4 linked regions of the Pelodiscus sinensis genome follow. The protein of the gene in region 4 interacts with the protein of the main gene of each other region in a pairwise test. Links are inferred from orthologs where the notes say so. Each region holds a gene or a part of one and is shown on either strand. Other genes may lie near its edges.

Region 1 (7,204 bases), on a different chromosome or scaffold from region 4:
TTCATCCTCTTTAAGAGCACTGGGGCTCTCAACCTGGGACAGTACTACAGTGGGACAGTACTACAGTGTCCCGGAAAGTCTCATCAACATATCTCTCTATGGAAAGCTCTCAGTAACAGAATAGGAAGGTTATGAAAACAAATGTGAGGAGGAAGCAGCTGAATAAAATGGGAGATGAAATGCTGTCTAATTGAAAAATGAATGGAATAAATTAGATTGGTCTTAAAACACAAATATTTTTCTACTAGATAATGTGAGTACTTGGGGAGCAATGCCAGGAGGGAGGTTCAGCCTTTTCCATCTCTGTTCCCACTAATGAAGATCCTCTGCTATTTTAATTCTAACTTCCCTGACATAAAGCTGACCTTAAATATCCTATGCTATTGTAGTCCTGAGCCTCCATCTCCCGCCCATCTACACACAGCTTTATCAGTTCATCTCAGTCCTAACTTATCTATGATGTCTTTGTTGCTTTACCAAAAGACAAGATTTTTTTTCTTTTACATTTCAAATTACTGAGTCCACTCCAACCTATGCAGATGTGATCCAACAAGGTTTTAATCATATCCGCCAGTTGGACAAAGCTTTCAAAACAGTGTACCAGAGACACCGCAGAGAAATAAAGGATTTTGACCAGCACCAGTTGAAAGAGAAGCAAGAATTCCTCAGGTACAAAAAATGTGTGTGGTTTCAATTTAACATATTCTGTAATAATCTGAACACATCCAGTGATTTATTGGTGTCTGCCAAAGGTGAAACCTATTGCCTGACATTGATTTCAGAGGGTGTTGGGGAATAAGGAAATATGGGGATATTTTTGTGGTGTAACATTAGCTAATTATTCCAGAGGGATACAGAGATGTAATGTGATGTTTTACTGATGATGCTTTAGATGGAATCTGTGAGCTAATGGTCAACCAAAGGAGTTTGAGAGTATTGTTTTGTTTTGGAAAAGTGATCTTGAATTTTGTTGAGGGTAACAGGGTGATTAAGGGCACGTCTACATTGCAGGGCAAAAGCTGAATTAAGATACGCAACTTCAGCTACATCAATTGCGTAGCTGAAGTCAAAATAGCTTAATTCAGCTTTTGGCGCTATCTACACAACAGGAAGTTGAAGGAAGAACACTCTTCTTTTGACTTCCCTTATTCCTCATGAAATGAGGGTTACAGAAGTCAGAGTAAGAAGTCCACCATCTCGAAATAATTTCAATATAACGGCTTGCTGTGTAGACATGTACTTTATTTCAAAATAACACCTGTTGTTTCAAAATAATGCTGCAGTGTAGACATGCCCTAAGAAAGTTGGCTTGGAGGGGGCATTACATGTTTATGGATTTGGGGATTCAAGGGTTAATTAACATCAATTCCAAAGTGGTGGAGAAATCCACTCTTAAAATTTCTTTGATTGCTTTGGTGATTTTAGAAATCTTAGTCAAAGATAGCTTTGAACAAGTTATTTTGATTTTTTCTCTCTCGTTGTCCTTCCCATACTACAGAAAAGAGAAGCAATTGCTGTCAGAGAAAGGAGAGATGAAGAAGCTGAATCAAATGCTGACCCCTCTTCAGTTCTGACAAGACTTCAAGTCTGTCACAGAAGTGTCTTTATGCAGAAACAGCCATAAATCAAGCTGCACTCTGAGCAAACCAGAATTCAAGATTCCCCGACCATAAATTGGCATAAATGTCCATTCAGACTTTCATTTGCATCTGAAGGGTGTATTTTAGGCAGCCCACTCCAAAGCTTTCTTCATCAATTAGAACAGACAAACCTGAAAAAATGGGAAGAACTGAGTTCAAAAGTCTGACTGATTTCTAATCTCTTTGATCTGTAAAACTGGACTGGAAAAATATCACAAGATTTCAACAATAGAAGTAATATGAGGATTAAAAAAAGTCACTGGAATATTTTTAATGGTTTCATAGTTTGGTTCTGTGTCAAAGATTTGAGCTGTTTTTTATTTTGTCTGAACTGTCTTGGCCCAAGCTGAAAGGCAGTGTAGTTGAGACTCAGTGCATCGCCTCTTGCCAACAATATGTGGTAATGGAGTTGGGCTGGCTAGCTGCAGACCTTCCCAGAAAGGAGGAAAGTTGCAGAAGGCTCCTCTGTGCTGGTGAACCCTGCAATGAATCCAATCCTGTGTCGAGTTTCCAGTGTATAAAATAGAATCCCACTCATTAGTGGTATGAGATTGTATAGCACTTTACAGCTTTGAAGTTCAAGTGCTGTAGATCAACATTATCATTTTAGCAGCACTTTTGGATGAATGGTAGCCTTTCCAGCTTGGTCAACTCATCTGCCTCCTAGAAGAGCCTGTCTATAAACAGGAAAAACAGGGCAAGGTTTGTCTTTTGGGTTTTTTGTTTTTAAATGGGAGGCTAAAGCTAAGCCTTGTCTACACAGGAAAAATATCATCTTTATTGGCATAATTTAGCTATTCCAGAATAATTCCTCCCCACACTATTGGTGCTACGTCTACACTGGCCCCTTTTCCGAAAGGGGCATGCTAATTTTCAACTTCAGAATAGGGAAATCCGCGGGGAATTTAAATATCCCCCGCGGGATTTAAATAAAGATGTCCGCCGCTTTTTTCCGGCTTGGGGAAAAGGCGGAAAAAAGCGTCTAGACTGGCCCGATCCGCCGGAATGAAGCCCTTTTCCGGAGGATCTCTTATTCCTACTTCGAAGTAGGAATAAGAGATCCTCCGGAAAAGGGATTTATTCTGGCGGATCGGGCCAGTCTGGACGCTTTTTTCCGCCTTTTCCCCAAGCCGGAAAAAAGCGGCGGACATCTTTATTTAAATCCCGCGGGGGATATTTAAATCCCCCGCGGATTTCCCTATTCTGAAGTTGAAAATTAGCATGCCCCTTTCGGAAAAGGGGCCAGTGTAGACGTAGCCTTGCAGAATAAAAGTGAACTTTTATTCTGGAATAATGTCCAGATGGGGAATATCTTATTCCATCTGGAAACAACAAACTGCAGCCAATGGGAGCTGCAAGGCTATGGACATGTAAAGTAAACAAAGCTGTGCAGTCCTGCCTCCCAAGTTTAGAAAATGCTGTCTTATTCCATAAAAGCTATGTAAAGCAATTCCCCCTCCCGCCGCCCAGGGTCTTAGGCTCCTAAACCCACATTCAGGTACCTAAATACATGGCTTGATTTTTCAAAAGTGCTGAGCACTCTCACACTCCCATTTAGGAAGATTACAATTTGCTTTTTCCATGTTTCATTTTCTGACATAGCAAATAACAGACATGCTTAAATATACCTCTGCACTATTGGGGACTGAGTTTGGGATTTTTCAAAAGTGCCTTGAAAGTTATTAGGATTTGTCCTGCTTCCACTCAAGTGGCTTCAAAAATCTTATCATAACTAAAGTCAGCAGCTTTGTTATACAGCCATTCCTTTTCTATAGGGATAGGGATATATGTTATGAAAATACTAGAAGGCTGCCCTGGCATTTCTTGGGTCCTTAACTCAATTAATTTGTTTTTTGAAAAATAATATGGTGGGATGATGGATGAGGGGTTCAATATGCAGGTTGAACTGGGGAGAGAGAACTACCCCAGTCTTCTCTCAGCACAGTAGCTTGGGGTCAGACAAGAAGCGCCTCTCTAGGGCTGCTGCAGCTCCAGCGGGCACAGCCGAGGGATGGGTGCATTTCCCCTGGCTGAGCTAGGTCTAGGTTCATCTGCCTCTTGTGTTTCCTAGCCAGAGTGAGGAGAGCAGCAAACTGTATACTTTCCCTGGAAGAAAAGCAAGCAATGTTCCTGTACAAATTGGGGGGGGGGGATAAAGATCCCACCCACACTAAAGGGTGGCTTGGGGGTGGGGCAGTCTCTGGGGGGTGTGCCCCCTGCTAACTAGCCACTTTCACCTGCCTGGTGCCTCCTTCCCACCCCAGGGCCAGCAGCTGCTCTCAACCCAGCGAGAGCCAGTCAGGGCCGGGGACAGCAAGTGATGGAGAGGGCGGGGCCTCGGGGAAGGGGCGGGGCAGATCTTGGGTGTAAAAAGATTGGAGACCACTGAGAACGCTTCAGTCAGTCTCTGTCCCTCCCGCCCGACTCTACCATTCTGGGCTGTGGAAGGGGGGGGGGAGGTCCGACACCGGATACCGATTCATAGCTTGAAACTCTGTCAGGGCCGCTGTACACGGATCGTTCCATTCGTGAGCAGCATCCGGCCGGGCGGGTGTATTTTAACCCAGGCCCTCAAACAGACCAGCGTTCTCCCGGCTCCCTGCCTTCCCCTCTTCCCCAGTGGTAGAATCCAACCTCTTTCTTCCCGGTGGTAGGGTCCCTTCGTAAACAGCTGTGGACGTCGCCGCTGTCGGTGACCACTGCGCGTGCGCGAGGCAGCGTTGTCGTGTCAGAGACTGAACTCCGGGTGCGCGCGCTCCCGGGCAATCGCAGACCTTCGCCTCAGCCACTTTTGGCGGGAAAGGGAGACGCGTTTATCCCCGGCCCGTCTGCAACGAACCGCCAGTAACGGCCGGGCGGGGCAGGTGATCTGAGACTGCGAGGCAGAGAGCGGCCAGTTCAGCTAGCGTCGGATCCAGCCCGACCTCGCTGCGCCTGGCCAGAGCCCGCGTGCCCCACACAGAGAAATAGCGCTACGGCCCCTGGGCTTGAACAGGAGATCGGCCTAGCAAGGGGGCCTGGTCTAGTTAGGTTAACCTGGCCCCCGCTGTACTGACAGCTAATTTTTCCATCCACATAGCGCCTGCCTCCTGGAGAGGTGGATTAAATACAGCAACGGGGAAACCTGCTCCTAACATAGGAAGCGGCTGTATTTCACCCTCGCTGTAATGGCGCGGTTGCTGTGCTGCAGGTGTTCCCTGACAACACGTAGGATTTATTATCCTGGAGGTGTGGAACTAAATATAAAGGGGCAATTACTCTGGTTAAGACTGGAGCACAACAGAAAAGATTCACACTTTTCCCTTGTCAAGACACTCCCACCCCTCCTCTCCCAACCCCACGTTCTCTCTCAACCTTCATTTCCCATCCTCACACCTTGCTCCATATTGCTCTGTGTGCTTGGGGCCCTTATCTCAGTGTGCCAGGGAACAATAATGCATGCCACACTTGTAAAAACAAAATACAGGACTATGTAGCACTTTAAAGACTAACAAGATGGTTTATTAGATGATGAGCTTTCGTGGGCCAGACCCACTTCCTTAGATCAAATAGTGGAAGAAAATAGTCACAACCATATATATCAAAGGATACAATTAAAAAAAATGAACACATATGAAAAGGACAAATCAAATTTCAGAACAGAAGAGGGTTCTGAAATTTGATTTGTCCTTTTCATATGTGTTCATTTTTTTTAATTGTATCCTTTGGTATATATGGTTGTGACTATTTTCTTCCACTATTTGATCTGAGGAAGTGGGTCTGGCCCACGAAAGCTCATCATCTAATAAACCATCTTGTTAGTCTTTAAAGTGCTACATAGTCCTGTATTTTGTTTCAGCTACACCAGACTAACACAGCTACATTTCTATCACTATTGTAAGGACAAAACATTCTTCAAGATCAGTTCGTCTTCTGGGTGCCTTTGTGCCTGATTTTTGGAGTTGGTCTGTGTAAGTTTTTGGGTATAACTCCAAGGTGGCTGGGGGGCAGAACCACATTACTATAGCAGAAGCACTGAAAGAAAAGGGCAGTGTTTCTACTTCTTCACTTCTGAACAGGGTGCATTATAATTCCCCCTACATTCCTTGCTGGCCAGCAGAAAGATACAGTTATGGCTCTTCTTACTCTGCCAATTTTGCATTGCTATGTATCCAAAGGGGAGTAGTCACCTTGCCCTTTTGAATGCAAGTAATGCAGTGCATTTCAAAAACAAGTAGACCTGTGGTACTTTAGGATATGTCTACACAGTAACATGTATCTTGAAATAAGCTACACAATTTGAGCTATGCAAATTGTGTAGCTTATTTCAAAATAGCTTATTTTGAAATTTGGTGCTGTCTACACAGCACTAATTTAAAAATAAATTGCTATGCCTGTATCTTCGTTAATCCTTATGCAATAAGGTTTATAGGAAGCTGGAATAAGAAACACATTATTTCAAATGAATTTCCAGATAGCAGGCATGCTGTTAAGACATGCAGAACGCTAGTTTGGGATAATGGACATTATTCCAAAATAGTGCCATTGTGTAGACATACCCTTAGGCTATGTCTACACTCGCGGCTTCTTGTGTGAGTAATATGCAAATGAGGCTAAGCGTGGAATATCGCTGAGCCTCATTTGCATACCTAATGAGCCACCTTTTTTTCAGAAGAGGCTCTTGCGCAAGAAGGAGCATCTACACTGCACCTTCTTGCGCAAGAAAAACCTTCTGGCACAATGCCGTTACACCTGTTACTTTTTAGGAAGAACGGCCTTGCGCAAGAAGGTGCAGTGTAGACGCTCCTTCTTGCGCAAGAGCCTCTTCTGAAAAAAATGGTGGCTCATTAGGTATGCAAATGAGGCTCAGCGATATTCCACGCTTAGCCTCATTTGCATATTACTCACACAAGAAGCCGTGAGTGTAGACATAGCCCTAGAGACTAACTATAGAATCATGAGCTTCTTCAAATGAGCTGGAGTAGAAATAACATAAACCAAGATATATAACAAAAAAAACCAAAAAAGTACTGGTCAATTGTAGGACTGGTGCTAATTAGGCTAATGAAATGGACTGGAAGTGTCCCATTCTTAGCCTTTGATGTAAAAATGCAGTTGTTAAAGGCAGAGGAGACTGGCTTTAACATGCAACGCATTTCAAGACAGGGAAGGGATTTATTTTTAGAAAGTGCAGAGAGGGGTTTTTAACATGTCCTTTGCCTTTTACATTATGTTTTTCTTCTTCTAGTATCTGAAGACAAAGGTCTAATTAATGTTACTTCAGGAAACACTTTACCGTTTGTTAGTAGTATGTTAAAGGAAAATGTATACAGATGACTACATTTTCATCCCTGTTCAGGTGTGATGAGAGGATAGTTTCATTTGTCCATAGGAAAGAAGTTCATTGTGGTACCATATGGAGATGTTTTGGGAAAAATTAATTTACAACTCATTTTAATATTTTATTAGAAAGTAAGATAAGTTACTCCATTTTATTTTTACTTCCAAAGAACTACCTCTAAAATTACACCAGGTTTTTTTTCCCTTATTTTTTCCCATCTTCTCTAACCAGCAAGACTCACCGG
Region 2 (7,485 bases), on a different chromosome or scaffold from region 4:
GATATGAAGGAGCATCAGGGCTGAGGAGATGATGGTGCACATCACAGAGGACAGTGAGAGGGGAGGCACATAAAGGGTCAATGAGGTGACATGTAATTGGCCACTGCAGTGAGCAGCCAGTGCTGGCTGGAAATGAGTGGGGGTTAGAGGGGAGCCTGATGGCCCAGAGCTGGCACACAGTAGAGACTCCACTGATGGACCATCAGTGGGGACTGGCCAGCCTTGCACGCTGCAGCTTTGCCCAACCACCAGTCTTGTACATCCACCCTATCATCAACTACTTGATCCCCACCACTTATCACTGGCCTGTGGTTGGCTGGCTAGCAGGAATTCAAAAAGCAGTAGGACCTACCAGCACTGATGAGAGGGGAGAGACAGAAAATAAGGGACAATTGCAAAGGGGGGGACAGAAGGGGTACTTCAAAGTGGCAGCACTGCACAGTGGCACCACTACTTTGAAACCCCAAGGTGGCATTTCAAAGGCGCAGACGCTGCACAGATGATTTGCAGATCAGCTGTGCGACAGCTGCCCCTTTAAAATGCCACTTCTGTGCTTTTCAAAGGAGCAGCTGGGGAGCCCAGGGGTCAGCTGGGGACTCCCAGTTGATCCCGGATTCCACGCGGAACTTCCCCGGAACCTGGGATCAGCTGGGGAGTCCCCAGCTGATTCTGGGTTCCACATGGAAGTGCCACGGGGAGCCCAGGGTTAGCTAGGGAGTCCATAGCTGACCCCGGGCTCCTAGCAGCATGAAGCATAGCATGGAGCTTGGGGTCAGCGGGGGACTTTGAGTCCCCTGCTGACTCTGGACTCCATGGCTTTGAAATGCACAAGAGCCCCTGCTGGGGACTGTTGTGCATTTCAAAGCAGGCACAGCTGTGTGCGGCCCGGAGTCAGCGGGACTTCCCGCCAGCCCTGGGCTGTACGTGGTGTTCCATATTCCTCCTTGGAACTCTTGTACATTTCAAAGGAGGAATGAAGAAGGCCTATCAACTAGTCAATGGACATTCCATTGACTAGTCAATTAACCGCATTTTAATATCCTTAGTTGGTCTAGTTGTGATCAAGGTAGTTTTATTGTGTGGTTTGGTTTGAACTGCTCTGTGTAAATCTATGCCTCCCCTCCACATTTACTATCTCGCATTGTGCCCAGAAACTTTTCTCTGTGTTTTGTTTTCCTTACTTGCTCTGTAACATCTAGCAATCAAGTATGCCTTATCAAGTCTATCTTTTGTTTTCTAATAAAAATCACTTTTTTAAGGTGATAATTTGATTCTTGAGTCCTGAAAGGTCTGTTTGTCTGTGTATTTGCATGCCTCTGACTGAGAGGTCAGCTACCAGAGACTGCAGCTTATTTTTCTATTTTCTTTTTTCAAGCTCTTTTGGGAGCTTAGAGTACCCCGGGGGTGGGTTCAAGTGTTCACCTCCAGTTTTAGGGATAAAAAATAACTTGATGGTGGCAGTTTGTTTACTTCTCAGAGCCAGGGAATCTGTGACTCTGGGAAGTTTTGGTAACCAGTGCCTGTAGAGGCAAGGTTTTTAAGCTCTCTCGAGGGCCCTCACCTTCTGCACTTGGAGTGCCAGAGTGGGGAACAGCTCTGACAAAGGGTCACATGCCCCTTAATGCCATTGGGAGGCAAGCGACGAGCTGCCCGCAGGCAGATCCTGATTTGTCCAACCGCTCTAGGCCCTGCGCTTGGGAGACCCTACAGGGCCCAGGCAATCTGGAGCACTGGTGGGGTATGATGCCAGCAGCAGTGGTTGCTCCCCCCGCAGCAGTAGAAAGTAGAGCAACCTGCCACCAGCCTATACTGCTCCCCCCTTGGGGAAGGGGAAGGGGAAGGGAAGGGTTGGAACTGCTCCCCATACTCATCCGCAGTGTGAAGTGGAGGGACATGTGTGGAAGCCAGATGAGTGGAGTGGGCTGGATCACTCCACTTCCCATGCATTCACTTGTGAATGCAGTGTGTGTGTAAACCAGGGAGAGCTTCTCTTCTGAAGAACTAGGTAAGCTCAAAAGCCTGTCTTTCTCCAGCAGAGGTTCATCCAATAAAAGATACTACCTCATCAACCTTGTCTCTTTAATACTACAGTACACAGCTTTTAGCGACATGGCTGTGTCACTACAGCTGTGTCACTAAAAATCAGGCAGTATAGCCAGTGTTTATTGGCTCTTTTGCTGACAAAATGCTTCCACAGCCAGCAAGTAGCATTAACTTTATTGGCAGGACAAAGTGCTGTTCACACAGGCACTTGTTGGAAAAACTTGTCTTTCATGGACAAGAGGGTCATTTAACACCTCTGAATGACAAAAAGTTTGTTGTTCAGTTGTCAGGATAGACTTAGCCTTAGACCATGATACACTACAAAATTATGTCAATTTAATTGATGCTGCCACACAGCTACTACAGTTACTAAATCACGTGGGCTACGTCTACACTGGCATGATTTTCCGAAAATGCTTTTAACGCAAAAGTTTTCCATTAAGAGCATTTTCGGAAAAGCACGTCTAGATTGGCAGGATGCTTTTCCGCAAAAGCACTTTTTGCGGAAAAGCATCCGTGGCCAATCTAGACGCGGTTTTCCGCAAAAAAGCCCCAATAGCCATTTTCGCGATCAGGGCTTTTTTGCGGAAAACACTACTGTGCTGTTTACACTGGCCCTTTTGCGCAAAAGTCTTTTGGAAAAAGACTTTTGCCCGAACGGGAGCAGCATAGTATTTCTGCAAGAACACTGATGATCTTACATGAGGTCGTCAGTGTTCTTGCGGAAATTCAAGCAGCCAGTGTAGACATCTGGCAAGTTTTTCCGCAAAATCACATGATTTTGCGGAAAAACTTGCCAGTCTAGACACAGCTGTGGATTCTTGCATCAGTGATGCATGTTCTCACCAGGAATGCTTGTATCCATTGTATTGTCAGTGTGGGGCATTGTCGGACAGCTCCAGAAAGCCAGTGATAGTCATCATAAGCAATTTGTTGATATAATTACATCGTGACTCTGCACTGCTCAGGGAGGTGCTGTTATTAAATGGGTGTAGAAACATTTACATCAGTAGAAGCCAAATTTAAGTGACGAACACTTCCACAGCTAATTTGAGGCAAGGCAGGTTACATTAACCTACCCCGTAGCGTAGACCAGGCCAAATGCACTTAAAGTGACTTAACCTCCAGTGTGGATCCACTGGTAGCCAGTACTGGCATAGTTGTATCCCCATTAGGATGGAGGCATAATAACTATTCTGGTTTAAAAACCCAGCCCTCACCGAAATAGTTGTTCTGGTACAAATATGTATGCAGATGAGGCCTAAAAATGAAAATCAAGCAGAAGCATTCCTTGCTTTTAATTGAAGCCTGGTGTCCAGCAATGTTCCCGTAAAGATTTCCCATCTATGGCGGAATAAATTTTGTCCTGTGCACCAAGACATATGCAGATGTGTACCACCAACAGAAACACATGCTGCTGACTGCGGTCAGCTGTGGGCACTCTGCCAATCAACTGGGTGGCTGTCCAAGTGCTCTAGGGCTGTGTCTAGACTGGCAAGTTTCTCCACAAAAGCAGCTGCTACATTGCCAGCTGTCTACATTGGCTGCTTGAATTTCCGCAAGAGCACTGATTTCCTACTGTCTGAAATCAGTGCTCCTTGCGGAAATACTATGCTGCTCCCGTTCAGGCGAAAGCTTTTGCGCAAAAGGGTCAGTGTAGACAGCCCAGATTTGTTTTGCGTAAAAAAGCCCCGATCGTGAAAATGGCGATCGGGGCTTTTTTGCGCAAAAGCGCGTCTAGATTGGCACAGACACTTTTCCGCAAAAAGTGCTTTTGCGGAAAAGCATCCGTGCCAATCTAGACGCTCTTTTCCGCAAATGCTTTTAACGGAAAGCTTTTCCGTTAAAAGCACTGGTGGAAAATCATGCCAGGCTAGACGTAGCCTAGGTGTGTTCTGCTGGTCTGAAAGGGGTTGTCTTTGATCCACAGCCTGAACTTTACTTAAGATGGCAAATCCTTTTAGCAGAGCTGGGGGCATGGCAGGAGGCAGCACCTGACCCTCATTCTAGGCTGCGTGAGGACAGAGCCTGCATCTTCTGCCTTAGCACTGCAGGCCCTAGATTCCCTCCCCTCTCCTGAGGAAGTAGGGTGGGGTGTGCCCCGTGGGCGCACTGCAGGCAGCGCACCCTAGGCTGGGGGAACACGGCCCTGGGGGGGGGGGGACCCAATGCCACCAGTCTGCCTCACTAACACCCAGTTCTGGAGCCAGGCGGCGGCGCTGGCTGGCGCCCTGCGCCTGGGGCAAGCACCCAGCCCGGGGGGCGGCCCGCGGCTCCAGGGGGCCGCGGCAGGCGCCAGCTCGCGCCGCGCGCCTCAGGGGACCGCACAGGGGACGGGTGCACAAAATGGCGCCGCCCTTGCGTTCCCTTCCCCCTCCGAGAGTCAGATCCCGATCCCCCCCCCTCCCCGAGACCTGCCCCGCCCCGCCCGGCCGGCAGCGGAGGGGGAAGAGTCACCTCGCCGCCCTCTCCGTTCACTACCATGAGGCTGAAACCGCTCCCCCTCCCCCCCTCCCTTGGGGCCCGCGGCCGCCGCCGCCGCCTCGGCGTGGCGTGGGGCTGCGGGCCGGCCTCGGGGTGGCGGCCTGCGGGCCAGGCTCCCTCAGCCACCACGGGGCGCGCTGTGGTGCGCGCAAGCTTCCCCCAGCAGGTGGCAGCGGGGTCCCAGGCGCCGCTGAGGCAGCGCCACACGCCCGCCGCCGAGCGCTGCTTCCCTTGGCGGTGGTGGCGGCGGCTCCCGGGAGGCGGCCGGCGAGCTCCCCGCACGCAGCCGGGGCTTCCCCGGCACCTGGCGATCTGCCCCCCGCAAAGTTTGGGGTTGGCCCCGGGAGGTGGGGGAAGGGAGCCCGGAGCCAACTTGTCCCAAATCCCCGCTCCGCAGTTGGAACTGAAATCTCCCAGCCCCGGTTTATTTTTGCTGATTAAAGGGACGGACCTTGGTCCTGCGGCTGGGTGGCTGTATAGCCTCCCACTCGCTCTGTGCCATCCCCTTTCTCCTTCCTTTCTTCCTCCTCCTCCCTCCTGCCCACACCATGGAGTTTACGGAGAGGAAGAGGAGCAGGAAATCCCAAAGCTTTAAACTGATCAACCAAGGTAAAGTGGTGCCGGTGGGGGGTAGCGTGGTGTGTGACTTTTTGTTGTTGTTCATTTGTCTCTCCAAAGGACTTTCGGCTCAACGTAGCTGGCTTTCAAAGGAGAAGAGCAGGGTGTTATGAAATGTATGCTGCTTTCCCTTCCCTCTGTCTCCTTCAGTGTCTTTCTGTCTTTATGATTTAACTCCTTGGATTTGTTTTTAAACCCCCTCCCCAATGACAGCACGGTTTTCAAGGCAGATGGTCTCCAAAATAAAGTTGGATCGTAATTTCCTTGTAAACCCCGAGTTAAAAAAACGAAGCAGGAAATTAGTAAAATAATGGTACTTGGGGAACAGAGAAGAGAGCCCTTTCGGTATTCAACTCCTGTAGGGTTTTTTCCCCTGTTGATTGCGCACATACACGTATTTCAAATAAAACACTAATAGAGGTTGTTTTTCTTTTTTAAAAAGGCAACGCAGCCAATTAATTGTACAGAGATAAGGAAGAATTCCTGTCATGCAACTTGTTCGCTCATTATGTATTTGCTTTACGAAAAGAATAGGGTGATTTAAAAGGGATGGTAAAGACTTGTATTTATGTCGGGGGGAAACAGACCTTTCTGTTTAGATCTAAAAATCGTTGATGGTCATTTTCACAGGTGAGCTTTACAGCCTTAGTGTTTTATTTAGGTGGGGATGTGGACTGCTACTCCCACTGATTAGATCTTTTCCTCTCATTGATTTGACTTCCGTGTTTTAAAGTATTGAACTGAAATATCTCCATGAAAAGCTGTGTGTGTCCAGCATGCTAAGTTCAAGGCAAGTGACTTCTCTGGCATAATGTTACACACTTTTTCTTTAATGTGTCACACTTGGGCACTTTTAGGCATCCCTCTTCAGTCACTGTTGGATGAAAACAAATGGGAAGCAAAGGAATTTAAACATGAAAATAACTTTCGGGAAGCTAATGAAAAATATTCATTATGAGCATTGGACATAACATACTTTCTTAATCTAGAGGAATACTGTACTGTCAGGTCAAAATTGGCCAAAAATTAGTGTAGATTTTATAAAAGCAAGTATTTGCAAACATAAGGTCAGAAGAAATTAATCTGGGATTTAAAGTTCAAAAGGAAACTTTTTGAGAAACAAGTATTCTTCTGCACTGCTTATAGTATAAGCACTAGAACAGTGGTTCTCAATGTGTGGTCCATGGACTCCTGGGGGTCTGCGATAGTACTCTAGGGGGTCCACAGAAAACTTAGGAAAGGAAAAGTAAGGATTGGGCCACCACATGACTGGAGCTTTACGCCAAGTGATCCTCACCTGGGGCGTGCACACACTCTCCCCCCCCCCTTCGTTCCCACAATGGACCCCAAACCTTACTTTTCTTTTCCTTTTCTCTCCCGGGGCTCTGTGCCTGGCCAAGGGCAGAATGCCAGGGCAGGAGCTGCCTTTGGCCTTGAGAGCCCCCTTGCAGTATCCTCTGTGGATGGGCAGGGAATGAAGCAGCACAGATCAAGGGATGTGCTGGTTGCCCCTTCATGCCACTCCCCTTGGAGGTCCATAACATTTTAGCAGATTGAAAAGGGGTCCGTATGCTCGAAAAGGCTGGGAACCACTGTGCTAGAGTATGAGGATCTGAAAGTGAAACTGATTAGTTTGTATTTCCAAGTTGAGAAAACTGTTAGATGTGCAGAATAACTCAAATAGTCAAAAGTAAATTAATATTTTACAAGCATTTAGTCTTGACATGTCATTTGTAACATAGATTAATAATTTTGTAATAATACTTTTAACTATTTTTCACTGGTGATTTAGCTTGTGTTTCACTTGTGGGTTAGCTGTTTTTTGTCTGAGAACCCTTCTAAATTATAGAACACTAACAACACTAAATGCAATTTTGGAAAAAGTGGTGTTTTGATTCAGGGAGAACAGAGAAGATAAAAAATGTATTTTAGCAAAGTAAGATTCAGCTTTTATGTATGTCCCTCCTCATTTCCTATGCAAATTGATTACAAAGATCATTGAGTATAAATAGGTGTTTCCCTGCTACTCAGCTTTTGCTTCCTGCTTGAGTCATTCACTGTCAGAGTTTAATGTTTACTGTGAAGATATTGATAGTGATTTCAAAGCCTTGGACTAGGACATTGCAGACAAAAGAAGGGGGCCAAAGGAGACACCCACTGTATTGACTTATATTATGTAAATTATTGTCATTTTTACTGTATACTGTACACCCTACATCTTCTTTCATCCCACTGAATCTCAAAGCAGTTTGTCATCATAATGAAGTAATTCAGACTACTGTATATATAAAATTGTGTATTCTTCCACTGAAATGCAGAAACTGATACAGCAGTCAAGGA
Region 3 (7,611 bases), on a different chromosome or scaffold from region 4:
TCCGTCCTCAATCTAAGTCCCCCTGAAACCTGAGCCTCTTTCTCCTGTTCCACTCCACGTACTCCACCTGTCTATAAACATCGGTTCCCCACAGGGTCCCGAGAAACAGGGTGTTGTGAGATTTCCCCTTCCCCACCCGCATTGACCCGTCCGTGCCACCCTCTCTCTGCTCCTTTCTGCTTCCAGCTGGAATCCTACCTGCTCTCCATGTCCTACCAAGGGACGCAGCTGTGGGCCGGGGACAACCAGGGACTGCTCTACGTCTTTAAAAACAGAGGCGGCAGCTTCCAGCACAGCCGAGTACGTGAGCTAGGGCTTCAGGGGACCGGGCCTGTTTGTCCCCCTTTCATCCTGGGGTGAAATCTGGCTCCTGCTGGATGCTGCTAGTTGACTGCTTGTGACTTGGGCCTCTGAACTCAGCTGATGTCAGCTTCCTTGTCAGTTTCACTTAATGCCTGTCTTCCATTAGCCCCGTGCTGGCTGGGTCTCGGGTCCCCATGTCCTGGAGGGCAGGGGAAGGGGTCTCAATGCTCCTTGACCCCCCTCCCTCCCCTCCGCTGAGATGGCAGCTGATGGCACAGTGGGAAGGAGCTGACCTGGCCAGACTTTTTGTGCCTTTAGCCCCCATTTGTCTCGGTTCCCTGTTAGCATGGTAGTACCTCACGGGGGGGAGGGGGATCGTGACAGCTCAGACACTGTGGCGATGTGTCCACATGAATACCTGGTGAGGTACGAGCTGCCACCCTCAGAACCACTTTGGAGAGGGACCTGGAGGGTTGAGGTTGGGATGCGGAGAGTCCCTGGCATGGAGGAGACGGGTTAGGAACAGAGAGATGCTGGGATCCATGTGGGTTTGGAACAGGCAGGCCATGGCTTTCACCCCTGATGGGGCTTGCAGGGGGCTCATGGTCTCCTTCCTCCCCACAGTACTTCAACGTGGGTCACCGGTCCCAGATCACTGGGGTCTGGCACTCCCTGGGCACGCTGTACACGACCTCCACCGACAAGAGCCTGCGGGTAAGATCCAGGCTTGCCTAGCGGCCCTTCTCCACCACTCATGGGAGCCAGGAATGCCTGAGTCCTAACCCCAGCCTTGGGACGCTGGCTACAAGTTACATCCCTGCTCTGTGCCTCAGTTTCCCCACCAGGGGGTAGGGGCAGTGGCCCCTCTCGTTTTTCCATCTGTGTGCAGAATAAATGTTACAAATGCAGAGGCACATGCCGATGTGCACCACCCAAAAAGCCACAGGCTGCCAGCTGTGGGCGCTCTGCTCACCAGCTGGGTGTCACCTGGGCAGCTGTCCCAGGGCTCAGCTTCCAGGGGACACGGGAAGGGGTGATACCTGCTTCCTGCAGGGCTCTGAAGGTGTCTTGGGCCCTTGGTAGCCGGCCCTTGTCCTGGGGTAGCTGCACCAATGCAAACCCCCTAGTGCTGACACCAAAGTACCAGTGCCCCCCCCAAAACAGCACACGGAGAGGCTCCTCTGAGACTCACTAAGCTCTGTGCAACCTCCCCACAAGTCGTCTCTTTCCAGATACACGTTCCCACGGACCCGCCTCGCACTGTCTGCACACGGACACACAACAACGTGCTGAACGGGGTAAGGCAGCCCCGGGCCTCGGAATCGGGGAGGACAAGAGTGTCTGGGCATTGAGCGCCCAGCCACCTTGCGTGCTGTGCTCTAGCCGGGGGGAATCCCCGTCCCTGCACTCTCCCCAAGCCACACCTGGCTGACACGTCCCGTCCTGGCTTCCTTCCTGTGGCCTGGGCCCACGGCCACTCAGCTCCGCCCGGGGGAGCGCTCCCTTCTCCTTGCACACACGGGAGGGCCCCGCAGCCATGCTGAGCACTAGGACACCTTGTGGCTAAACTCGGAGCGGGGGCAGGGTGTACGTAGCAGGAACCCTGGAGCCGGCGCCCCGGGATCCTGGATTGACGTGGCCTCAGTCCCCGGTGCCTGTTCACACCCCCTCTCCCCCTTCCCCCCAGATCAGCGCGGAAGGCAACATTGTGGTAGCTGCTTCCGGGGGCCTGTCCTTGGAAATCTGGAGGCTCAACGCCTGATGGAGGCCTGGATCTGCGGAGCCGTGTGTTGCCGGGGGAGGTGCTGCGCCCGGCGCCCGACTGCCGGCCGGGGGGCCAGAGTTCCGGCGCCCGTTCGTCGGTCATTTGTTCCTTGTTCTTTGGAAGAGGCCCGAGGAGCCGCGAGGTCGAAGTTTCGCTGCCTGAGCTCACCCTGGCCTTGCTGTTCCCAGAGGGGTGGGAGCCCGGCCAGCCTTCCCCCGCCAGGTGCACTGCCTTAGCTCTCTGGCTCACGTTCTTCCCCTCCTGCTCTGGGCTTCTTAGCTGGCTGAACCCTGGCCTGATTCCCAGGCAGCCTTTGCTACTGATCTACCTGCCACGGTGCATGGGCCCTGGCTGCTCCTTCGGGACCTGTTCCAAAGGCCTCTGGGGTCACAGTGCAGGTGGGGCTGGGAGTGAGGGGTCAGTCCGCTGGACGGCGCCGTCGGGGGGCGCTTGCTGCTAAGGGCTGAGGAAGGCAGAGGCAGGGGCTGATCGACTGGCTGTGTAACCTAACGGGACTAAGTTTGACCCACGTGCTTATGTTGTTGATTAAAATATTCTGCCAGACTGGAGCCGAGTAGAGCGCTTGGTGGGTTCGTTATCCCCTTCCCGGTGCAGTCACAGGCACGCCGTGTTGGAAATTCCATCCTGGTCTCCTGGGAGCTCCAGACACGGCGGCTTTCTCCTCTCCCTGCCTCCCCACAGGAATTGCAAGAGCCAGAGTGAAGCACTGGGGGAATGGGCTATGGAGGCTTTATTGGGGGGTGGGGCTGGGCTGTGAACAGGGCCGTGAGCGTTTCACTGACGCCAGTGAGAGGGTCCCTGCGCCACCCGGGGCCGTTTGGACAAACACAGTGTGAGGTTTCGGGTTCTGGCCCAATCCCTGAGGCCCTTCCTGCCTGTGCACAACGAGCTGGCTGGGGCAGGCCCCTTCCCCAGCAGAACCGGCTGCTGTGGCTAACTGGGGTCCCTGCAGTGCGGGGCTGTATGTCTGTCTGCCCTCGCATTGTAGTAACCCTCTGCTTCCCAGCACCCCTCCTGGGAAATATGGGTGGGGAAACTGAGGCACGGGGGCACTGCAGCGACTGTTCCAGGCTGCCACTGACTCCCTGTGCAGACGTGGGCATCCTCCTTCCACCCGAGGGGGGGTTGAGAACAGAATGGGTAACTGAGGCTTCACTTCTGCCCTTCGTGCTCTTCTCCCATGAGGGTTTGCCAGCTGCCAGCCTGGCCCAGCACTGAAGTTCCCTGCAGTCCCTGAGGGATGGTTTCTTTGGGACCCAGAACAATCCCAGGCTGGCCCTTTGCTGTGGACACATGGCCTGGTTCCTTCCCCCCACCCTTGCATATGCCTGGAGCTGATGAAGGATTGCCGTACAGGGGGAGATCCTGGCCTGACCCCTGTCCTAGTGCCTGCCTTGGAGACCTGGGGGGGGTGGTCAAAAGGCAGGTGAGCAAAGTCAGAGGGTGGGCTGGGGAACAGGGACTAGTGGTTGGAGCAAGGGGTGGGAGCCAGGACTTCTGGGGTCCCCTCTCTGGGAAGGAAGTGGGGACTAGTGGTTAGAGCAAGGGAGGCCTTCCTAGAGATGGGTCCAGAACATAGGGGTCCTGCTTCCTAACGCCTGTCCTGGAAGGGGGAAGTAGGGTCTAGTGGCTAGAGCAGGGGCATTCTGGGAATTTGGGACTCCTGGATTCTCCTCCTGTCTTGGGGAGGCCCTGGAGTGTGAGTGCTTGCTGCTCACGTCCTTGCTCTGCCCCCTACTCTCCACTGTCCTTCCAGAGCTGTCAGCAGGGTGCCCCATCCTGGAATGGAGGAAGGGGTCAGGCACCTACTGCCTCCCTATTGCAGAGCTGACTTCACAGCTGTCCCAGGCAGTATCTGTTTTTCTGCTGGGCCCCCTGCCGGGCCCAGTCACCTGTGAAAGGAACATGCCGGCCCGATTTAGCTTCCACCTCCTGGGCAATTAGTGCTCCCTGCAGGACGGCTCCCTCTAATCCGTCCTGTGAACGGGCTGGAGGCCAGAACAGGCTGAACTCTGTGTGCGCCCTGGGCTGCTGCAGGGCTGGAACCCCCCCTCCACCCGCATGGACCAGCTGCCCTGGGCGGGGGTCTCGGGGATGGGACTCCCCACGGGAGCAGCAGCTGCACCTTTTCAGGCCTGTGTGATGCTGGGGAGCAGGGGGAGGTGGGGAGATCTGAGGTGGGCAGCCAGGACGCCGGTCTCGCCCCCATGGGCTGTAGGTTGGGTGAAGAGGGGGCCCTGCCAGTCCCGCACCAGCGGAACTCCCCGCTGCAGGACGACGCGGGGGAAGGCGGGTGGTCTCTATAGCGTTAACCGACGTGCTTTCGCTTATCGGTTAATCGATTCCGGATCCATCCCCGCCCGGGGTCCAGTGCGGGGCTGGCTCGGCTCGGACAGGCTGGTGTTTGAAGGGGCCTGGCGTAGGTGCTGGGCTCTTGGGTCGGAGGACACTTGACCCTGCAGGGCTCCCGTACGTGGCTTCTATTCAAGATGGCGACGCCCACGCATACGGTTCCCGCGCGGCGGCGCTCGAGGGGCAACATGGCGGCGCCCAGGCGTACGGACGCGGTCCTGACCCCGCGGGGCTGCCGTAGCCGGCCGGGCTGAACATGGCGGCGGCCAGGAGCGCGACAGCGGGGCGAGAAGGGCTCTGAGGCGCAGGTAGGAGCCGGGCGGGGCCTGGAGGGAGGGAGCGAGCGAGCGAGCGGGCGGGCGGGCGGGCGGGTTTTGTGGGGGCGGAGGGTTCCGTGGGGGGGTTCGTGTGGAGTTTGGGGGGGCTCGCTGGGGGGGGTTTCGTGGGGAGGTTCGCGGAGGGGGTTGGGGGGGTTCGTGGGGAGTTTGGGGGGGCTCGGGGGGGTTTCGTGGTGAGGTTGGGGGGGCTCGCGGGGGGGGGTTGGGGGGGTTCTCGGGGGGGGTCGTGGGGAGGTTGGTGGGGCTCGCGGGGGGAGGGGTGGCTGGGGGGGTTTCGTGGGGAGGTTCGCGGAGGGGGCTGGGGGGGGTTCGTGGGGGGGCTGACCCCGGCCCGTCTCCGCAGGCCCCATGGAGAGCGCGGCTGAGGGGTTCCCCGCCGCGGCGGTGGCGGCCGTGCTGAAGCCCAGCGCCGTCCTGCCCGAGGAGAGCCTGCGGGTGCGGGGCTACGACTTCGGGCGCGGGCTGGATCACCGGGCGCTGCTCCAGTCCTACCTCACCACCGGCTTCCAGGCCACCAGCTTCGGGCAGGCGGTGCAGGAGATCAACAGGATGGTGAGCGGGGGGGCGCGGGGGCGCCAGGACTCCGGGGCTCCGTGTCGCTCGCCGCAGGCAGGTCACTTCCCCGCTGCGAGGCCAGAGACCTGGGTGGGGGCCGGTGGCCTGGGCGTCTGCGCTCCCCGACCCAGCAGCCGGGCAGGCCCGTCTCTGCCAATACGCAGAACACCCAGCTGAGTGGGGCACCAAATTGCACGGTGCCCATGCAGCTGGGTGCTGCATATGGGCTGTAGCAGCCCCCTCCCCTGGCTGGCCAGCCCCCTAGCCCGTGGCTCTGTGGCAGCTCGGGTCCCATTCCCCAGCCAGGCCCCTGTAGGGTGGGTAGCCAACAGCTGGAGAGAAGCGGCTGTGTGGCTGTTCTTTGCTCCCCGGGCCCATGCCCCTGCGTCTCCCCCACCCTGCCTAGGGCTGCCAGCTCTCCCAACCAGACTCATTTGCAGCAGTGACGTTCGGTCTGGGAGAACTGGCAGCCCTCCCCCTGCCCCCACAGTCCCCTCAGTGCAGGGCTGTGTAGGGCATCAGCATGGATAGGGATGGCCCTGCTGATGTGGGGCTGCTCTGGTTCCCAGATCGCGGCGAAGCTGGAGCCTCTGGGGGAGGAGGAGGAGACCCGTGCAGACCTGAACCCCTGCCGCCGGCAGCCCTCAGGCTGCACCATCTTCCTGGGCTTCACTTCCAATCTCATCAGCTCCGGCATCCGCGAGACCATCCGCTACCTGGTGCAGCACAACATGGTAAGGCCCCTGCCCCCTCCAGGTGCTGAGCCCTGCTCCCGTGTCCCTCTGTGCCCTCTTGACACTAAGCACCTGCATCCAGAGGTGCCCCCGTATGTGTCAGGCTCTGCCACCCAGGCTGCTGTCATGGCCCCCCCATTCCCTTCACCCACCACAGAGCTGGGCTCTCCCACCTGATGAACAGTGGGAGGGCTCCCTGGGGTGGGGTTCTGACAGGCTGGGGTCCCTGTGCCATGCAGGTGGACGTGTTGGTCACGACAGCGGGTGGCGTGGAAGAAGATCTCATCAAATGCCTGGCTCCGACCTACGTGGGGGAGTTCAGCCTGCAAGGGAAGGAGCTTCGGGAGAGCGGGATCAACAGGTACAGGCGGGGCTGGGGTAACAGCTGGGAGGCAGGACTCCTGATTTGGGGGAGAATAGTGGCTAGTGGTTAGAGTCACGGGGGACTAGGAGTCAGGCCTTGTCAGTGCTTTAGGAGGAGAGTGCAGTCTAGTGGTTAGAGCAGGGGAGCCAGGACTCTCCTGGGTTCTGTCCCTGCTCTGGGAGTGGGGCCCAGGAATGAGAGGGGGAGGCTGGGCTCAGGAAATGATGCTCTAGAAGTGAAAGACGCTGTATTTGTTCTCAGCCCCTGGATCCATCCAGCCATGATCCTCTTTGTGCCCCCCCCCCCTGGGGATCAGGAAATGCCAGTGGTGTCCCTGTTCCTTGGGGTGGGAGGAGGGGCTGAGCCCAGCTGGGCTGGGGGGGGGGAGGGCTGGGGATGAACCTGCTCCTGTCTCCAGGATCGGGAACCTGCTGGTGCCCAACGACAACTACTGCAAGTTCGAAGACTGGCTTATGCCCATCCTGGACCAGATGGTCGCCGAGCAGAACATGGAGGTGAGGGCGGGGGGGGGAGGGGCTGCGGCTGTAGGACACTGGGAAGGTCTCTGACCTGATCCCTACTCAACCCCCTGCCAAAATACCTGGCATGTGCAGATGGGTGGAGGAAGGGGGCTGGGAGTCAGGGCTCCTGGGCTCTGGGAATGGAGTGTAGGGGAGGGGGGGTGTCCAGTGGGTTGAGCAGAAGGTGGGTGGGTGGGACACCAGGAATCAGGACTCTTGGGTCTTATACCTTGGGTGAGGCACATCCCTCTGTGACTCGGTTTCCCCATCTGCACCATAATGGGGAGAGCTGCCAGGTGGGGAGCTGTGAGGGTGGGCACCTTAACGTTGATAACGCCCCGCGGGCCCCAAGTCTCTGAGCTGGGGGGCAGGGCAGGGCTCGGGTCACTGCAGGGGGGCGCTTTCACTGCAGCTTTGGCCCTTGGGCCCTGCAGGGGGTGAAGTGGACCCCGTCCAAGATGATCGCACGGCTGGGCAAGGAAATGAACAACCCCGAATCGGTCTATTACTGGGCACAGAAGGTCAGTGGAGGGGGGTGGTCCTGTGCTTCAAGGGCGCTTCTGTTCATTCCCCCCAGGGTCCGGGCTAACCATGCCCAGGGTACAGCCTGGCTTAGCTGAACCCCCCCCCCCCCCCCGAGTGCCCCTCTAAAAGAGCC
Region 4 (7,280 bases):
TCCGTGGAGCCAGCACTCACGGTGAGCTGGCTTAAAAGCTGGTTCCCCGCACGTATTGGCTCCCGCCTGTCCCGTCCCCCCCACCTTCTGCACTGCTGCCTCTCTATCAGCCCACAGGCACCAGCTCCTGCCTCCCCCCCACTTGCTGCGTCTGATACAGATGCAGTGTGGAAGGGAGTGGGGGAGGAGGATGCATGTAGTCAACAGGATTAACCCAGGCTTATCGGTTAATTGTGTAGTCATCTGTGCGCCGACATCCTGATCAGCTACATATATTTTTCATCTCTGTGAATCAGACCAACTTTCTCAGCTCAAAGATGAGAGTTAAAAATAGCCTAGTCGGTCATATTTTGGCACACCCATGCTGGTAATCCAAGTTCCTGCCAGTTTCATTTCATGAGATGGTAGTACATGCACTGTCAGTCTACAGTAGAAAGGAACAAGTGGCAGGTTGAATTAGCACTGATAAACTGCAAAAAGTGTCCTTGTATAGTCCTGCCTCAGAAAGATGGTGGCTGCAAAATTCAATTTTCTCAGTGATGTGAAATATGCAGTTAAAGGGAGAAAAAAAAACAATCAATAGTGTTAATTCACAAGTCAGTTTGTGCTCTAGATTATTCACAATGTATGTTATGTGTATTAGAGGGAATGCAGATTGCTTATTTTCAAAACCTCAATGGAATATACATGAGTTTTCACACAAATGGGTGTGCTAGCTGTTCAATAGCTAAGACACTACCATACCTCTCTATACCCAGTTTACAAAATCACAGCATTTATACTGAAAGATTTACATTAATGTAGGGGAAAAGGATCACACTTGCTAGTAGATACAGAGACATTTACAGAAAAGGATTACAAAACTAGTGTTCTGTGTTGCATGTTTTCAGTACTTTACATAAAAAGAAAACAAGACAATTGGCTGAGATCTCTATGGAGCCACAATAAAAAAAATATCTGTATATTGTTTGTGAAATGAAACCTTGCACTGAATTTCCTGGATTTATTTTTTTAATTTTTTTTAAACCCTAACTTTATCAAAAGGGTAATAAGTACTTAATCCAGATATGTATTTAAAACCTTAACACATTTTTCATGTGGGAACAGAGACCAAATTAAATGACCAAAAATCATTACCCAAACTGGAATCTGAATGTAGTGTTCTAGGAGCAAAACCTAAACTCTCATGAAATAGTAGAACTGACGTATTCCCTTTTCCACAGCACATTGGACACAAATCAGTGAAATGGGAAGCTGACCTTTTATATCACAAATTCTTTACAATAAACTGAATTGTGAAATTATTTGGGTGCAGAGCTGCGGTCCAGTTCTCAATACTGAACTCCCAAAATATAACAATATATCTAAAAAGTGCCTGACTTACCATGCTTTTTTTCTAGGAGTCCAATGCAGACAGGTCAAATGGTTTCCTGAAAAGAAAGCACATTTATTTTAGCTTTCTTCACCACCTCCTTTAAACATTCTAAAATTGGTTAGGTAGACAATGAAATTATTCTCATGATTACATTATGGATTTTTACAGTAGTGTTCAGAACAACATGTTCATAAGCATTTTATGTATATTACATAACTACGCGCAGAGCTAGAATTTAATAGAGCTCAAAAGAGTTAACATATTAATACAAATTAATATATTTTTATAAATGAATCAACAGCTAGAAAAAAATTCCATGTGATGGGAGATGGAAGAAATTGCAACTAAGGGCTATCAAGTAGGGATGTCAACATATAGTCGACTATAACCGATAAGCCTGGGCTTATTGGATAACCTCCACCCCATCTCGTTGCCTCTGTATCAGAAACAGCAAGGAGAGGGAGTGAGGTGGGAGATAAGTGCCTATGAGGAATCATTTTTTAAGTCAGCTCTCCACGAGCACTGGAGCACCAGATCCCACGGAATCGCCTATCCCCATCCCCCTCCATGCTGCTGCCTCTCTATCAGAGGCAGCAGCACATGGGGTGCAGGTGGGAGCCAATACACGTGGGGAGCAGGCTTTTAAGATGGCTTTCCGTGTGTGTTGGCTCTGTGGAGCCACTTGCCCTTCCCCCTTGCAGCAGCGCAGGCCTCCTGTGGACAGGGGGCTGCTGCATCTGTATCAGAGGCTACAGCGTGGGGCAGCAGGTGGGAACCAGTCTGCACGGGGAGACGGTTTTTAAACCGGCTCCTCTCATGGACTAGTTCCTACCTGCCACTCCACACTTCTGCCTCTGATACAGTGGCAGAAGTGCGGATGGCAGGTGGTTGTATGGGAGTGGGACTGAGAGCATATTGGTTGCTGGCCCCACCCCTGGGGATTATTAAATATTCATGTAATAGCTAAAATTTGATGTGGTTACACAATTATTCAATTACTGTACGTTGTATCTAACATCCCTATTATCAAGCAATTAAAAATAATTGTGATTAATTGCACAGGTAAACAGTAATAGAATACCATTAATTTAAATATCTGTGGATTTTTTCTACATTTTCAAATATATTGATTTTTATTACAATTCAGAATAAAGTGCACAGTGCTCAATTTTATATTTTTATTACAAATATTTGTACGGTAAAAAACCCCAAAAGAATTAGTATTTATCTATTCACCTAATACAAGTTCTGTAGTGCAGTCATGAAAGTTGAACTCTCAAAAGTAGAGTAACGTACAATCGCCTCCCTCCCGCAACTGTAGACCATAACCCTATATTTTCCCCTAAACCTTGCCTGCAGCTTGTATACTTTCCTAAACCTTTTAACTGTTTTACTCTGTTTTAGCAGTAATGCAAGGGGCCTACAGAAATCTTATTTTTGTAAGAAGTTAGCTTTGGCAATAGAGTTGGTTATAAGTAAGAATTACAGAATATAGCTTATTAGTGAGTGTGGAAATTTCCAGTCTTGTTGATAAGGCCAGGTCAAAACCACAAAGAGGGCTCGAGTGCTAGCGAAGAACAAAAATATACGAAACATGTCCTGTTTTACCAAGTCAAGAGGTGAACAATATATAGTAATTTTTAGAATATTCAGTGTCTTGCCCATTTTTGGATGAGATGTATTCTCTCCAATCAAATGTGTGCATGCTCAAATCTTGTGTGAAAATCTGCATTTGGTTTGGCTATTGGTGATGTAAAAATGCCTATAAAATGCTATCAATGCTCTCCCTGAGGTCGACGGTTCTCCTATCTCTTCTTGCCTTTCATACTGTCCTTTACTGTACTAGTACACTTATATTCTCTGCTACCATACCTTCTTATCTCTCACTGAGACCCCCGTTCCATCTGTGGAGAGAGGCTGGTTCCTTTGTCTCCTGAGGGTCTTCACTAAGGTATAAATATGGTGTTAGGCTAGGTAATTGCCATTGAATACTCAGGATATATATTTAGTCTTTGTTACATTTATATTGATGCTGCAACGTGAGGCTATCACATCCATTTATGCGACTGTCACCTTAAGTTTCTTATTGGGGGTAATCATAACATTCTTTACATTTCTCAGTTTCTTTTGCCAATGGTGTACGTGTCTTTACTGCTGCAGTTCTTGAAATCTGACTCCTGACATAGTCCATCCCACTCCTAGCCAGACTGCCTATGACAGCCAAGAGAAATCCCCCTGCAGCAGCTCCTGGCGGACAGAGGAGCTTTTCATTCCATGCAGCTCCCAGCCAGGGGGTGAGGGAGTTGGAGAGACTGAAAGTGTGAGCTACAGCTGTGCTAAGGCAGCAGGCAGAAGACAGTCCACCTGAGGGGGAGGCGAAGGGGGCTGAAAGACTGAAACCAGGGAGAAGGGGCTGAGAGAAGAGAGACAAGTTCTGGCTGGAGAAGAACTCCAGTAACCATAGTGTCTTTTTAAAAAGGAATCCAAGGATTTGAAACCTGACATGTCTGACTCTGAACCCTAGCGCGGGGGCTGCATTGACACCCTGACTAGGAGAGATGCCTGTTCCCACGCAATTTCTAAAGGTTCCAGACAAATGACTGCCATTAGGCTTTACAATCCGGCACTGAAAGCCATTAAGGGCGGCCCCAGATCCCTGTTTCCTATTGTAGTTTCTTGGTTCTTCAGCGTGCCGAGTGACTCACAAGTAAAAAGTAACAGGCTCACTTGGGATTAGCACGGGCAGGGCGCAGACCTTATTTACAGGGCCAGGCTTTTCCAGCAGGGGCGCACACGCCATAGCAATGTGTCACCGCGCTGCTTCCTGTGGGGGAAGGTTACCCAGGAAGCCTCCTGTGATTTTTTTGTGTGTGAAATAGTGAAACCAAGAAACTCCCCCCCCCCCCCCCCCAGGACGCTGGTGTGTAACATGTGGGGCCCACACTGAGCCAGCCGGCTCCCCTGTCCCTGCTAAGAGCGGCGCGTGCAGAGCAGGGTTATTTCTGGCAGGGCAGCAAGGGCCGCACGCAACTGACGTGAGTGTGACCGCTGCACCCGAGTGACCACCGCGGGGACCAGCCCCCCCGGCAGGCAGGGAGTCTGGAAGCCAGGCTGCACGGGGCCTGTCGGGGGCTTTGCAGAGCTGGGGGGGGGGGCGGGAGGCGCCGCAGAGGGACTGGCGCCCCGGGGCTGAGGGAGAAGGGGCCCAGCCGCCCGCTCACCTGTTTCCCGCGCTTTGCAGAGCTGGGGGGGGGGGGGAGGCGCCGCAGAGGGACTGGCGCCCCGGGGCTGAGGGAGAAGGGGCCCAGCCGCCCGCTCACCTGTTTCCCGCGCTTTGCAGAGCTGGGGGGGGGGGAGGCGCCGCAGAGGGACTGGCGCCCCGGGGCTGAGGGAGAAGGGGCCCAGCCGCCCGCTCACCTGTTTCCCGCGCTCGCAGCGGAAGGCGCCGTTCCCAGAGCGACCAGGCCTGCGCGGGGCGGGGCCGCTTTCCCGTGAGGCGCTGCCAGCTCCACCGAGGTAGGTGCGGGTCCCTGCCTGCCTGCCTGCTGGGGGGCTCCAGAGCGAGAGCGGCCAGTGTCTGGGGCTCCACAGCGCCCATCCCCGTGGCGCCTGGGCTGCAAGTGTTCCCGGCCGCGCCCCCCCCCCCCCCCATAGCTTCTTCCCGGGCTGTGCTCCCTGTTGAAACCCGGCTCCCCAGGCCCTTAGGGGCCAGTACAGCCGTGGCCGAGCCTGCCCCACCCCCAGACTGCAGCGAGCGTGTGGCGTGTGGCGGTGGGAGAAGGGAGTTACGGTGGAAGAGGCAGTCAAAGTCTGTTGGTCAGGCGGGGTTTGCAGAGCCAGCCTGGAGCTTTGCGGAGACACGGAGGGAGGGCTGCCCTGCCCGAGTGGCTATTTGAATCCGCACTAGGCTCCCACGTTCGCTTGGGTTTCAAGTCAGGCCCGGTTGTTAGTATTTCCCTCTCTCCCGCGTGCAGCATGGATCAGTGTTGGAGAGCACGTAGCAATTCTTGTTGCAGGTACAGTCTGATGATCTTCACTCATGCGGACTTGTCTCCAGTGTATCCTGTTCATCCTTCTGTCTGATCCGTCTGTTCTTTACCAGAGTTTCACCATTGTGCTTGATACTGCAGCTGGGCTTTCCAGTCTCAAATTGCCAAGGCCCTTTTACAAATTGGAATCATCCAGTCATCTGTTACAGAGACTGATTTAAGCAATAACTTACCTATTACAGTTAGTAGTTCTTCAATTTCATAACCAAGTTCTTCAGAACTCTTGGATGAATGCCATCTGGGCCTGCTGACTTATCACTTTAATTTATCAATCTAATCCTCCTTTATTGCCATCTCTGTTGACAAATATTGAATATGATGCCCACGTGGAGGTGTTATGCACCTGGGTTGGACATTGGCCAGTCTAAATGCTCGGACATTGGTGTTTAACTCAGAATTGTCTTACATTTCTTCCATATCCCCCAACGCCTCTAATTATGTTTTGCCCCTCTAGATATGTGCATGCTGCTGTCCTGTGTGCACCTGATTCACCAACCTCTCCGGCGCATCCAGTCTTGGTTTGTCTTACCTTCACGCTCCTTCATGGATCTAAAAGCTCTAGTTTCCTCTTTGAATGACTTTGCTTCTCTCTCTCTGGCTGAGAGTTGGGACAATGTAGGACTACTGGTAGAACCGAGCCCACCCCATTCTGTGAGCACGCTCTTCCTAACTAATGACCTTACAGAAGAAGTAATGCAGGAGGCATTGCAGAAGAAGGCAGATCTTATACTTTCTTATCACCCACCCATATTCCGAGCACTCAAGCGCATAACATGGAACACCTGGAAAGAACGTCTGGTGATCCGGGCTTTGGAACACAGAGTTGGCATTTACTCTCCACACACAGCCTATGATGCTATACCTCATGGAGTCAATAACTGGCTAGCCAAAGGACTTGGTGAGATACTCCTTTTTTCAGCTGTTACAGGTTGAACCTCTGTGGTCCCACATGATTTTAGTTAGCAAGATGTCCACTTAAGCAGTAAGCCAAGTTTCCCACAGTCCCATAAAATTTGTTTACAGCCACCAGTCCTGATTCTCAGTGTTCTGTGCTGGTACTTAGTTCTAATTTACCCATAAGTGTCTTCTAAGAGCCCAGTAAGCAGTGGAAGTGTTGGTAATGTTGCTTGTCAATATTGACCTCCCATGGTCTAGCAAATTCTCTGGTTTGGCACCAGTCAGGTCTGAAAGATGCTGGACTAGAGAGGTTCAACCTGTAGTCAGTTTCAATTACTCTTTATCAATATAGTATAAGTCTATGGGGAATGTCTTTATCAATTTTCCCATGTGTTTATGTGCACAATTTGAGATTGAGTGGTGTGGAGAGGGTGAATAAAGAAAATTTATTCATTAGTTCCCATAATATAAGGACTAGAAGACACCAAACTAATGTTTAAAACTAAGGTTTAAAACTAATAAGGGAAAGTTCTTCTTTACACAGCGCATAGTCAACCTGTGGAACTCCTTACCAGAAGAGACTGTGAAGGCTAGACCTATAACAGAGTTTAAAGAGAAGCTAGATAAATTCATGGAGGTTAGGTCCATAAAAGGCTATTAGCCAGGGGAATGGTGTCTCTGGCCTTTGTTTGTCAGAGGCTGGAGATGGATGGGACGAGACAAATCGCTTGATCTTTGTCTTTGATCCACCCCCTCTGGAGCACTTGGTGCTGGTCACTGTCAGCAGACAGGCTACTGAGCTAGATGGACCTTTGGTCTGACCCAGTACGGCCATTTTTAGGTTCTGATGGTGCAAAGATGAAATCTATCAGTGAATCAGAGGCACTCAGATACCATTGATGAGGATCAAAAAAATAAAAGTATTGAGGAATATGTACATTTTTAGCTGACAGTGTAAC

What was found.
Region 1: the proteins of NIF3L1 (region 4) and DMC1 interact in binary tests that used the Homo sapiens proteins (3 or more experiments, as listed by UniProt). The two-hybrid records come from large-scale screens. The link is inferred for Pelodiscus sinensis from reciprocal best matches to the Homo sapiens genes NIF3L1 and DMC1.
Region 2: the proteins of NIF3L1 (region 4) and BEND7 interact in binary tests that used the Homo sapiens proteins (3 or more experiments, as listed by UniProt). The two-hybrid records come from large-scale screens. The link is inferred for Pelodiscus sinensis from reciprocal best matches to the Homo sapiens genes NIF3L1 and BEND7.
Region 3: the proteins of NIF3L1 (region 4) and DHPS interact in binary tests that used the Homo sapiens proteins (3 or more experiments, as listed by UniProt). The two-hybrid records come from large-scale screens. The link is inferred for Pelodiscus sinensis from reciprocal best matches to the Homo sapiens genes NIF3L1 and DHPS.

Annotation. Positions count from the first base shown.
Region 1 is NC_134711.1:91,668,879-91,676,082, forward strand, and holds the start of DMC1 (meiotic recombination protein DMC1/LIM15 homolog), read left to right. Parts: upstream 1-4,193; 5' UTR 4,194-4,737; intron 4,738-5,384; exon of another isoform or gene 5,385-5,590; intron 5,591-7,204. UniProt on the Homo sapiens protein: Participates in meiotic recombination, specifically in homologous strand assimilation, which is required for the resolution of meiotic double-strand breaks.
Region 2 is NC_134711.1:14,014,472-14,021,956, reverse strand, and holds the start of BEND7 (BEN domain-containing protein 7), read left to right. Parts: upstream 1-4,475; 5' UTR 4,476-5,075; coding exon 5,076-5,136; intron 5,137-7,485.
Region 3 is NC_134729.1:13,363,468-13,371,078, forward strand, and holds the start of DHPS (deoxyhypusine synthase), read left to right. Parts: upstream 1-4,592; 5' UTR 4,593-4,749; intron 4,750-5,122; 5' UTR 5,123-5,127; coding exon 5,128-5,331; intron 5,332-5,903; coding exon 5,904-6,068; intron 6,069-6,307; coding exon 6,308-6,429; intron 6,430-6,850; coding exon 6,851-6,947; intron 6,948-7,387; coding exon 7,388-7,474; intron 7,475-7,611. Other genes in the region: FBXW9 (F-box/WD repeat-containing protein 9), read left to right, coding at 187-300, 928-1,017, 1,536-1,601, 1,991-2,065. UniProt on the Homo sapiens protein: Catalyzes the NAD-dependent oxidative cleavage of spermidine and the subsequent transfer of the butylamine moiety of spermidine to the epsilon-amino group of a critical lysine residue of the eIF-5A precursor protein to form the intermediate deoxyhypusine residue.
Region 4 is NC_134717.1:73,550,002-73,557,281, forward strand, and holds the start of NIF3L1 (NIF3-like protein 1), read left to right. Parts: upstream 1-4,280; 5' UTR 4,281-4,410; intron 4,411-4,596; exon of another isoform or gene 4,597-4,629; intron 4,630-4,695; exon of another isoform or gene 4,696-4,718; intron 4,719-4,752; exon of another isoform or gene 4,753-4,932; intron 4,933-5,151; exon of another isoform or gene 5,152-5,391; intron 5,392-5,878; 5' UTR 5,879-5,880; coding exon 5,881-6,322; intron 6,323-7,280. Other genes in the region: PPIL3 (peptidyl-prolyl cis-trans isomerase-like 3), read right to left, coding at 1,385-1,387. UniProt on the Homo sapiens protein: May function as a transcriptional corepressor through its interaction with COPS2, negatively regulating the expression of genes involved in neuronal differentiation.